3 linked regions of the Drosophila melanogaster genome follow. The protein of the gene in region 1 interacts with the protein of each later gene in a pairwise test. Each region holds a gene or a part of one and is shown in the gene's direction. Other genes may lie near its edges.

Evidence for each region. Proteins that work in one complex are often made in the same cells at the same time.
Region 2: the proteins of CG6660 (region 1) and CG13045 interact in a two-hybrid assay, tested with the Drosophila melanogaster proteins (one large-scale study listed by BioGRID).
Region 3: the proteins of CG6660 (region 1) and CG4586 interact in a two-hybrid assay, tested with the Drosophila melanogaster proteins (one large-scale study listed by BioGRID).

The regions. Positions count from the first base shown.
Region 1 is NT_033777.3:22,921,789-22,925,034, forward strand, and holds CG6660 (uncharacterized protein), read left to right. Parts: upstream 1-1,563; 5' UTR 1,564-1,682; coding exon 1,683-2,069; intron 2,070-2,131; coding exon 2,132-2,563; 3' UTR 2,564-2,737; downstream 2,738-3,246.
Region 2 is NT_037436.4:16,289,177-16,292,638, reverse strand, and holds CG13045 (uncharacterized protein), read left to right. Parts: upstream 1-1,688; 5' UTR 1,689-1,763; intron 1,764-1,820; 5' UTR 1,821-1,841; coding exon 1,842-2,405; 3' UTR 2,406-2,927; downstream 2,928-3,462.
Region 3 is NC_004354.4:6,968,002-6,972,800, forward strand, and holds CG4586 (uncharacterized protein), read left to right. Parts: upstream 1-1,916; 5' UTR 1,917-2,016; coding exon 2,017-2,975; intron 2,976-3,083; coding exon 3,084-4,158; 3' UTR 4,159-4,264; downstream 4,265-4,799. Other genes in the region: Setd3 (SET domain containing 3), read right to left, coding at 1-591; CG3040 (uncharacterized protein), read right to left, coding at 4,458-4,799.

The DNA.
Region 1 (3,246 bases):
ACTGGCAGCGGCTCCTCGCTCCTGAAGTCCCATCGTCCTGTCGTCCTGTAACTCCGAAAATGGCCGCCAATCGGAGGGGAACGTGCGACGGTTATGGCTTATTTGTGCAAATGAGCTGACGTCCATTACATTGTCCGTGGGGAGGTGAAATGCAAATGATTGTTTTGGCGCTGGCTGGCTCAATGTCTGCCGCACAACAAGGTCACCGCAGGAGCCCCAAGGACACTCTTATTCACATGTGAGTGTGTGTGTGTGTGTGTGGGCTGTACACATATCGCATCACTTGCGGCTTAAGGACACGCGAGTGAAAGTAAGTGAAATGGCCTCGCCCAACTTAGCCCACCTGGCCTTGTTTAATAGCCAATAAGGTAAACTTTTCGTACAGATCCTTGATTGATTCTCCTCTATAAATTGGCACATTTACTTATCGAAATAAACTGAAGCTCCTTAACTGTAAACTTTCGACCACAAAATGCTTGCCAAGTTTGCACGTTGCGCAAACAAATTGCACCTGCTTCAGGTTGATTAGCCACCTGCAGCCCATCTCCTTTGCTACTTTGCTCCTTTGCTCCTTTGCATGGCCCTCGGTTTGCGCTGCAAGCCAGGTCGTAAAACACTTTTGCCTATTTCGCTGAGTTGGCTCGACTGCGATCTCCAGCTCCTCTTCCAGTTCATCTAGCTCCTCCAGCTCCCGCTGCTCTTGCTGTTGTTTTTAAGAGCCATTTGTCCGATGCCCGCGGCTATTTACAGCCATTGTACAGACTTGGCGAATTTATCAAGCATGGCGGAGTCGCTCAGTGGGTCACTGGATGGTGAATGTTGGTGAACTGGATTCGGGATGCCGGATACTAGATGCTGCAGCTGACGTTACCGCCATTTTTCCGCTTTTCCTTCACTTCGCTTTTGGCTTAATTTCAAAACAGTTGCGCTTATATTGGCAGTTATGCTGCAAATTTATTGGCATGCTTTGTAAACTGGGTTAGTTGCATATATCTCGCAGCCGCAAGCTGCGAGCCAAACGATTAACGTTGAGTAACCCAAATTGATGTCACCACCCATCGACCGCAGCTAACAGCCCGCACCACCCACCGCCACCAACATTTGCCCGCTGGAGCATCATTTTTTCCCACTCAGCAAAGTTTCCGTAGCGGCTGGTTATAGCCCATAAATTCTCATACATTGTCAAGTAATAGCTAAACCCTGTTTACCCCCTGACAGGCACAAGTTCATAGAGATAAAGAAAAAATGTGGCACAATTTGGTCACAACTTTTTTAGAAAAGAGATAACCAATTTCTTTTCATAGTGAGATTGCTTAGGTCTTTTAAGAAATTTCAACTATGGAAAAGATGATCGGCACTTGATCTTGAAAGTGTGGTTTTATGCCCCGTTTTCCTTCAGTGTTTTTTGAGCGTAAACCCAAAGCAGTTCCAAGTTTATAAACCGGCGACAAAGAACGAGAATCTCTCTGGCAGTGCAACGCCTGACACGGGTTAATCCGGTATGCGTGGTGCTTCTCATTTAACGGTCATTAACATAGCCAGCCGGAATGCTTGGATAGACTGTGCTTTCGAGCAGTTCCGTTCAGAAGACTGAAGACCCTCGTGTCTCGTGGACTGCAAATCGCTTTCCGGCAGTTCGGCAGGGAGTATTTTTGAATCGAGGATCCAGAATGCGGCACAACATGGTGGCCTACCTGTACTGCCTGGTCAGGGATCTGTACGCCGAGCACGGAGATCCCCGAGTGGCGCACTTGCCCCTGCTGGGCAATCTATGGATCGTGCTGGCCATTGTGGCGCTGTATGTGGCCTTTGTGCTCCACTACGGACCACGTTGGATGGCGAACCGTGCTCCCTTTGAGCTGAAACGTGTGATGCAGGTGTACAATGTGGTGCAGGTGCTGGCCAATGCCACGATATTCGTCATTGGCCTGAGCAACACCTACCTCCAGCCGGGATACAGTTGGACCTGCCAGCCAGTGGATCACACGGACAGATCACCGGCCATGATGAAGACATTGTACGCCTCGTATGCGTACTACATGCTCAAGTATCTGGATCTGCTCGACACGGTTAGTTGGGGGCTATATACCGTCTATATACCTTCTATACCCATATACAAATGCATTCCCAGGTATTCATAGTGCTGCGCAAGAAGAACTCGCAGGTGAGCTTCCTGCACGTGTATCACCATGGCGGCATGGTCTTCGGCGTGTCCATCTTCATGACCTTCCTGGGTGGATCACACTGCAGCATGCTGGGTATAATCAATCTCCTGGTGCACACGGTGATGTATGCCTACTACTATGCCGCCTCATTAGGCGCGGTGAAGAATCTTTTGTGGTGGAAGCAGCGGATTACACAGCTGCAGCTGATGCAGTTTGGCTACCTCACCTTTCATTTCCTGCTCGTTATTGTCCGGAATCCGTGTCAGTTTCCCGTGTTCATCGCCTTCATCGGCTTCATTCAGAACATCTTCATGTTCTCCATGTTCTTCGACTTCTACTGCAAGACCTACATACGCAAACAGCGCAAATCGGCGGAGCACAAGCTGAAAGCCAGCTGAGCTGTACTGCCGTTGAAAATGAGGTTCAAGTTCGCGCCGCGTCATTTCCATATTAAATTGTGTAATAAGCTGGTCGGTCGCTTATGCAAATGGGCACCGATCGAACCCAAAATGCCTGGTATAAATAAACATTTCGGATTGTTTCCCAACCCCTCCGTTTCATCGCCACAAAATACATATCGCTCAATTGTTTTGCTTTTGTAATCAATTTCAATTTGCCAGCGGCTAGATTCGGAGGCTCCTTAAACTTTTCTCGAAAACTTCTTAACCGCCTGGGAAAATCGAAATGGAGCACGGAGAGCGAAGGCGGCGACAAGTTATGAAGTAAGTTAGCCGGGCATATCTTTTATTAAAGGGTTAAATGAAATATCGATGAAGTCGGCACCAGTTATGGCCGCCACGTGTTCCCGACCCACATTTCTCTATATGCTTCGGCCATGTGTCGCATGGGCCCCTGGGCCACCTTTTAACTTTCTGGCCAGCGTTGTTTTTTTCTGGCCCCCTTTTCAAAGCCAAAGAGTGGAAAAACCAGCTAGCACACCCACAGTGTTACCCCATGTTGAACACATTTGCCTAGAAGGCTGCCTCATTCATATTTTTTCCCCCTCTTTTTTTTTGTTTTTGCCATGGCATTTTTTCTTTGCCAGAAGTTTTACATCTGCTTTCGCTCCCAAAAAAAAAAA
Region 2 (3,462 bases), on another chromosome or scaffold:
AATTGATGAGCGAAAATAATTTTATGATTTGGTATACATTCAACGGTTTCCTCGAAACGAAAAACCATTTGAATAATATTTGTAGCATATCTTCCAGCTAACAGGTTGTGTGCAATCAATTGAGTGAATCAAATCAGCTGAAACTTCAATAGCTTGCAACAAAGTATTATTTTGGTGGTGGATGGGGGATACAAATTCGCACTTGTTGTTGCCAAACACGTGCAGCGATTTAGCACGCATTACATTACAATGCGGCTCCGTTTCAAGAGCACCTGTTGCCAGCGGCGGCGGAAAATGTGTGGAAAATTTGTATGGAAAATGGGGGAAAACGCGAAGCAACCACTCGAGGAGTAGAATCAGCTCAAAAGCTGGGCGTGTGCTCCACTTGGAACACAAAAGGAAAACAAAAAGAAAAACGTGCGTGGAAATTCCCGCTATCTGTGCCCCCTTTTTCGGTTCAGCGAAGGTGAACATATCGATTTCTGATTTAGCCACTTTGTTATGCTAATTTCCCCGGCTTTCCCGTCCTCGATTTTCCTCTGTTATTCTTTTTTTTCAGCGTCCTGCTCCTGTGTTGACAATTTCGATGAGCGCGTGTCGCGCATTTGGCAACCCAAATTTAATTGGCAACCCGTGCGGGAATTTCGCCTGTTTACGACAGATTCTGGACCAGATTTTATGGTAGCAATTCCATGCACACGTTTGCCCACTTTTGGGCGACTTGGAGGCGATGCACAAGACGCGGCCAACTTTTGGGCTTTTCCACGGCTAATTGAGAGCAACGAAAATGGCTTTGTTGGCGGCGGTAATAAATCGACTTTTAACTGGCGTGTGATATTTTGGCATTTATATTTCGGCAACGGCCATCAATCAGAGTCATAAGGCATAAAAAGGTGCCTGGAACGTGATCGCAATGGGTTTCTTGCAGCTCTTGCCACTTGCTTGCTTTTTTTTTTTTTGTCTTATATTTTATACTTTTTTGCAGCTGGTGGCGGCGGCAGTAAAAGTTGCTGCAGTGTAGCGCGTGCATTCGTAAATGTGATCCATGGCTTTGGGCGAATGAAGTGCACATGATAATGGCTTCTGAGGTGGAAGAGTTTAAGATGTTGATCCGAAGAGAGGGGTGTGTTAAGGTGCATATCTTATATCTGAGGAATTTATTTAGAAGATGTCTGAAATAATACATATGCTTATTAATTTTAACACCATCTATCCGACTACAGCAATTCTGAATTGGAATCTAATAAAAAATAAGATTGGATAGGTTGACTTCTTGACTTCAAACGGAGTCACAAAAGCATTCACATCTTTACTTTACTGATTCGGAGTTCTTAAACTGTTAACAATTTTTTTTTTTTCGGTAAAGTGTGAAGTTATACCTTCCACCTTAATTACCTCATTTGAAGTTTTGACCACCGACTTGTGGTTCGTACTTCCACCGAATTTCGCCTGCGGATGGGGCATTGCAAAACTTGTCGCATGCATTTGCCGCACGATTCGCTTGTCGATTGCACGTCGTGCGCAGATCCCTTAATGGAGTTTTTACCTTTCGGCTCCTCTAGTTTCCAGACCCCTCCTCCACTCCTCCTCCACCTACTCCTCCACCCACTAAATCAGCATAACTCGGATCGTGGTATATATAAACCTGCAATGGTCAGCCAAAATCGATTCATTTCGTGTGAAAGTGTCGCGGAGAAGTGACTTAATACGGAAATCGAAAACGGAAGAAAGCATAACGGGTGAAAATGTTAAATATTTCAAAAGCAAGTGAATCGAAAGTGACTTTTAACTGAAAAATAATAGTTTATCTTTATATATAGATACCTTTGATATGTGTTCTGATGTGTTTTGGTGCTCCAGCGCTTGGAAGTTTCCATCATGAACCATCGACGGTGGGCGTTCCCGTGGGAGTTCCAGTCCCAGTGCCAGTTCCTGTGCCTTCTCCATATCCGGTTCCATCTCCAGTGGCGGTACCTGCTCCAGTAGCAGTACCCGTTTCCGATACCGTCACCGTGCCAGCGGCCTTTAGTGCCCATCAAGGATTTGCGTACGGAGCTGTCGATCACTATGGTCCACCACCTCCGGCGATCTTTAAATATGCTACAACCTATGCGGCACCACAGCCAGTTATTAAGTACTCCCTTGGAGCTCCAGTGACCACTACCACCACCACCTACACCGGATTTGCAGCACCACCACCACCAGCCGTTCATTATGCTGCAGCAGCTCCACCACCACCACAGTTCATAGCCCGGTTTGCTCCTCCACCCACTGGCTATCAGTTTGCAGCTGCTGCCCCGTCATATGGCAGGTACAAGCTCCACTTTGGGTCACCACCTCATCATTCTCCGGCCGCCGTTTATGGAGCTCCCCCTCCTGTAGCATTTAGCACTCAGGGCTGGTAACTCGAGAAGCGCCAGCTGGGCTCTGGCTCATCATGCATAACTATGAATGATAATTTCCTCAAATTAGCAATTAATTAAATCTAAATAATGTTGTTATGTTTCGTATTATACGCGACTGGTGAATTTATGCGAAGAACGCGAAGCGTAGCGATTAAATTATGCTTATGTCAATACCCATAAATAATTCAGATGTTTTCATGGCTCGAAGTTATTTTTTGGCTCAGCCAATTTTGGCCAAAGGCGAGGCTTGACTTTGAGAGGGCCCAGAAAAATGAATAAATAATATAAATTTGCCGCTATTAAAGCTATGACTACGGATCAACTGACCTAAGTCAATGAATGAAAGAGGGAAATAGCGGAGCCATCCGTCAATTGGGTCAACAGTTTAAACTTTAAAGAGCCTTTGAGTTCACAGATAGACAGCTTGATTACACTACAAATATTGTTATTAAACAAATAAATCAAGTAAATTGTGTATTTCCGTATTTAAGTTTGAATACTAATATATTTGGGTGGCGGCTTAACATTTAGATTTAATGTTTAAGAAGACAGAACTGTATTTGTCCACTTTTTGGATATTAATTGGATCTTGTTATCTTGAATTAGAATACATAAGTATTTTCTTAGATACCTACATCTATAAGTCAATAAATCAAGCTATTACACTATAAACAGCACATTAGCTAAATTACTAGAAGTACAAGAACGCTATAGTCGAGTTCTTCGACTATAAGATACCCACTACTCATCTAGTGGGCGAACGAAATAGAAATTTTAACATTTTCTGTTGGCAAATCAATGTTAGTAAAATGAAAAAAAAAAAATGAATAAGTAAGTTTCTGGGTGTAATATTAAATTAATATATCTGAATTTTAAATAAAAACAGGAAAAGTTCCTCCCTTTTCTTTCAGTGTAAACCTCATTCGGATCCGCATTTATTGTGAGTGTATTTTACTATCTAAAGGTCTACGAGTAACGGGTATAATAATAATAAATTTGTATTTAACATTAATTCCGATAGTGAAAAGTGGCTCCCCATTTCTTTCAGTGTAAATTA
Region 3 (4,799 bases), on another chromosome or scaffold:
CTCGATGACCAGATCATAGGCCAGGTTCAAGTGGGTGGCCTGCGTCATTTTGCCAAATAGGCGGCAATCGGAGTTGTTTTCCTCGGATAAGATGAGCTTCCGGGGCACGCTGAGCACCAGCTCATCCTTGGCCAACGGTCGGGTGGCCCGCAGACCCAGTTGGTAGCCGGGAAAGATGGCTATCTCCAGTCCCTCACTGTGAACTCCGCCATCTTTGGCCCACGCACTGAACGCCTCCACTTTGGCCAGACGGGTCTGATCGTCGGGGGAATCGCTGATCTGCGGACACACTGCTTGGCTGAGTGGCTCCTCCAGGATCATGATTTGTTTGAGCAGCTCCTGTAGCTGCCCGTACTGCTTCCATTCCTCGTTGGGATTCGCCGGTTGCTTTTCCACCAAGTCAAGCAGTTCCTCGACGAGCTTGTTTAGTTGGCTCCTCTTTTTGCCGTTTAAACTGGGCAACGAACTGGCCGCCTGCTGGTCCTCAAAATCCTCGACTGCTGTGCCGGATGCGGATGCAGTTACTCCGTTTTGTTGTGGCTGCTGTTGCTGCTGTTTTGTCTTCTTGTTGCGCTTCGTGTTCTTACCCATGGCGGTGCCGTTGGTGGGAGCGAGAGAGAAAGACAGAGAGAGAGGAAGACAGAAAGCTAAGCGGTACCGGCGGCCCAAAACAACAACAGCCAAATAAGGAAAATAAAGTCGAGAAATCTGCACGCGGGCGATCAGCTGGCCGGCAGTGTGGCCATTCGTCGGGCGCCACTAAATTACTCCGACAATTGGTCACACATTCGACGAGCTTTTATGCTGAAAACTTTTTAATAGGGGTACTCCTAAGCTTTTTTTTATTACAAAACTTATGTTTTCTTGTAAAATAAATTGTAATTCACGTTGCATTTTTGGCACATCAATAATATTATAATAATTACTCTTTATAGTTATTAAAATGGCCAGTGTTTTTTTATATTTTATGTTGCATTCTTGAAGAGCGGGAAATTTAAATTGAGAATTTGTCCTAAAATCCAGGTTGCAGAAGCTCGTATGTATAATAATATATTTATTTATTTATATAAATAAAATCGCTCTTTCCATGTCTTTTAGTTTCTATTTATAAACAATTTGACAATGGCCCATAGGGTTATCTTAGATTTTCTAAACGTCATCCAATTGAGAAACGTTATGTTGATAACAAGAAATCCACGAAATAAAAATGTTATTGTACGAAAAAGAAATAATTGTTTGTTGAGCTTTGTGGGTTTTTGCAAAACAAAAACAACAAGAAATATTTACGATTTTCTTATCTACGGTAAAAAAAACTTGAACTAAAAAACTAGGAGATAATGCCGCTCATCAGATGTTTACGCACTTTGTGCCATTTTTGGCTAGGGTGGACCAACACACAAATCAGCGTTTGAGTTAATAGTAAGAAACAAATTCCGTCCAAATATACAACCTAGGATACGAAATCTAAAACATGATAAGTGCATCTTGTAAGAAAGACGCAGTTTGAGAAACTTTCGACAAATACGGAATATGGTCCACCCTAAGGCGCTCAAGCAATTTGAGAGTGGCTCAGTTCTCAGTTCAGTGACTCCAATGCAGCAACAACGGCGGTTGGAGCACCAGCGGGCAGAGCGCGAAAGAGAGGCAGTGGTGGGGCTCCAAAGGCGTAGGCAGGATGGACCATCCAAAGGGGTTCCAGATCGCCTCTTCTGTATAAGTTATCCATAAATAGCTTATACACTGCATCCTTTATGAGTATAATGTGGTAAATGTATAAAGAATCCCGGTATATTAATTGGCAACTCATCTTTAATTTCGGATCACTGATAACCAACCATATTCCCCTGCTATCCCCGCCTTTGGTGACCTGGCTGCCATGTTTCGAGCTGCAGAACTGTTTCTTCCAGCCACCAACTTCTCAGTGCAATCGAGTCGTTCGAGCAGAGAAGTTGGGAAATCCCGTAGAAAAGTAAAACTCTAGGAAAAGAGAGATCGGGAAGGAGAGATAGAGCGATCATGTCTGTGAATGCGGATCTGCAGAGAGAGCGGGCGGCGGCCACCTTGGACAGCGAGGACTTTGCCCGCTGGTGGGCGGGTGGCTCTGGGCAGCTGGAGGAGCGCCGCGCCCTGGAAAGGCGTTTCTATGAGGATCCCGACTTCGCGGAGCCAGTGCATCCGAGCTGTCTGTCATACAAGGAGCGCTACGAACAGACCGTGGCCCGATCCACACGCTTCCTGGCCAAACTGCGCCAATGGCAGCGGGAGAAGCAGCCACAACTTCAGCTTAGTGTGAATATGCTGAGGGACTTTCGGCTGCTACTCTCCGGATCCCTGGGCACGGGCCTCTTCCAGCAGAGCTTCCCCCTTCGGGTGCATTTCTCCATGTTCATGACCACCTTGCTGAGCCAGGGAACCGAGGAGCAGCAGGCCCAGTGGCTCAATCGATCCTGGCACATGGACGGCGTCCTGGGCACCTATGCGCAAACGGAGCTGGGTCACGGCACCTTTGTCCGGGGCCTGGAAACCCGAGCCGACTACGATCCCATCACGCAGGAATTCATCCTGAACACCCCAACGCAAAGTTCATACAAGTGGTGGCCCGGCGGACTTGGTAATACCGCCAATGTGGCCATTGTGCTGGCCCAGCTATATGTGAAGGGCAAGCATTATGGCTTGCAATCATTTGTGGTGAGGATCAGGGACGAGAGGACACACGAACCGTTGACTGGAGTCGATGTGGGCGATATAGGACCTCGCCTGGGTGGCAATGGCGTTAACAACGGCTTTCTGGGACTCCGCGACGTGCGGATACCGCGCAATCAAATGCTGATGAAGAACGCCCAAGTCCTGACCGACGGCACCTTCGTCCAGGGTAGACCTCCGCTGCTGCTCTACGGCACAATGGTCTATGTGCGGGTAATTACCGTGAAGGATGTGCTCTTTGGACTGCTCCAGGCTGCCACCATTGCCACCAGGTGATTATATAGTTTCTGGGGATTATGTTTATCATAGCTGTTATTAAGCCCATAAAACACATTCAGCTCACCCAGGGTTCTTTAGATAATAATTATCATTATCTTTAGGTATTCCGTGGTGCGTCGCCAGAGCCGGATTAACAGCGATCAGCCGGAGGTCTCTGTTTTGGATCACATCACACAGCAGGCAAAGATTCTACCGCAAATTGCTCGAGGAGTGTCCTATCGCCTGGTATCCGATTGGCTGTGGCGCTTCTACGAGGACGTACTCCGCCAACTGGAGGATGAAAGCACGAAAGGACGCAACTCCCTGCCGGAGCTGCACGCCCTGAGCTGCTGCCTCAAGGCGGTGGCCACCGACGAGGCCAGCGAGGGAGTTGATCTGCTGCGCAAGAGTTGCGGTGGCCACGGATTCCTTTCCTCGGCGAATTTCGATAGCATCTATGGTCTGACCGCCGCCACATACACCTACGAGGGAGAGTACACAGTACTCCTGCTCCAGACAGCTCGTTTCCTCGTCCGGCAGTATGCGGATAGCTTAAAACGCAAGGTGCTGCCCTCCAGTGTCTCCTATTTGAGGGATACAGCCCGTTTGATTTGGGGCAAGAATCTGGTTGCGAATTGTGTGCGAGCGCTGGAGATTTCAGCCATGGAGCAGGTGCGTGATGCTTGGCAGACCCAGAAGATGCACCAATCCGGCAAGGTGAGTCCCGAGATGGCCAGCAATCTGGCTGGAAGGCAGCTCACCTCGGCTGCCATAGCCCATGCTCACGCATTCTTCACACGCAATGCACTGGAGCAAGTGGAAGCACTTCGAAAGAAGGGCGATCTTAGCCCGAATGTCTCACTCATCTTGGGCCAACTGGTTGAGCTTTTCGTCATCGATACATTCCTGCGACAGTCGGGATGCGTGCTGCGTTGGAACAACGGCATCACTGGCACCCAACTGCGCTTCGTGGAGCGTCGCTTTGAGGAGCTGCTGGCCAAGCTGCGACCCAATGCGGTGGCTCTGGTGGATGGATTCGATTTTCACGATCGTGTCCTGGGCTCCACGCTGGGGTGTCACGATGGCCGGGTGTACGAGCGTCTCATGGAGGAGGCACGCCGAAATCCGATCAACCAGGAGCCGGTCAACTCGTCCTTCCACAACCACTTGTTGCCCATGATGCGGGGAAAGCTGTGATGTGGGGCTGGTCTTTTGTTTTCTACATACGTATATGTTATTCACTAATTTTTGTATTGAAGTTGAATCATAACATTTTTTTTTAATAAAGGAAATAGGATTTCGCAATTGTTTGTTATTTTGCACTTACCATTTTCAAACTAACTTACTTGCTCGCCCTTGTTAAAGTTGTCTTTTTCCGATTTATTCGTATCGTTTTACACATTACACATATTGAATTAAGCTATTAAATTAGTTTACTCGGATAAATAAAGGCTGGGGTACACACAAAAAAAAAAGGGATTTGATCTGAATCGAGTCTAGAACATCTTCTTCCTGACCGCCGTATACCGCTCCATGTAGACATCGTAGCCATCGAGATCGGTGAACTGTTTCGAGTTGAACAGATTGCCGTCGACGGCCAGGTTGCAGATTTTCGAGTCCTTGAGGATCTTGGGTGTAAAGGCCGCTGCCTGAAGGCAGTTCTCCTCGAGCCGCAGTGTCTTCAGCTTGGGACAATCGGCTACTTCCTCCGCCAGCGAGGATATTTGGTTCTGGTTAAGGTTCAGTTCGGTCACAAACAGTCCGCCCACATCGGCGGGCACATCGGTGATCTTGTTCCTGGACAGGTCCAGGACATCCAGCTGCTTCAGACCGCACAG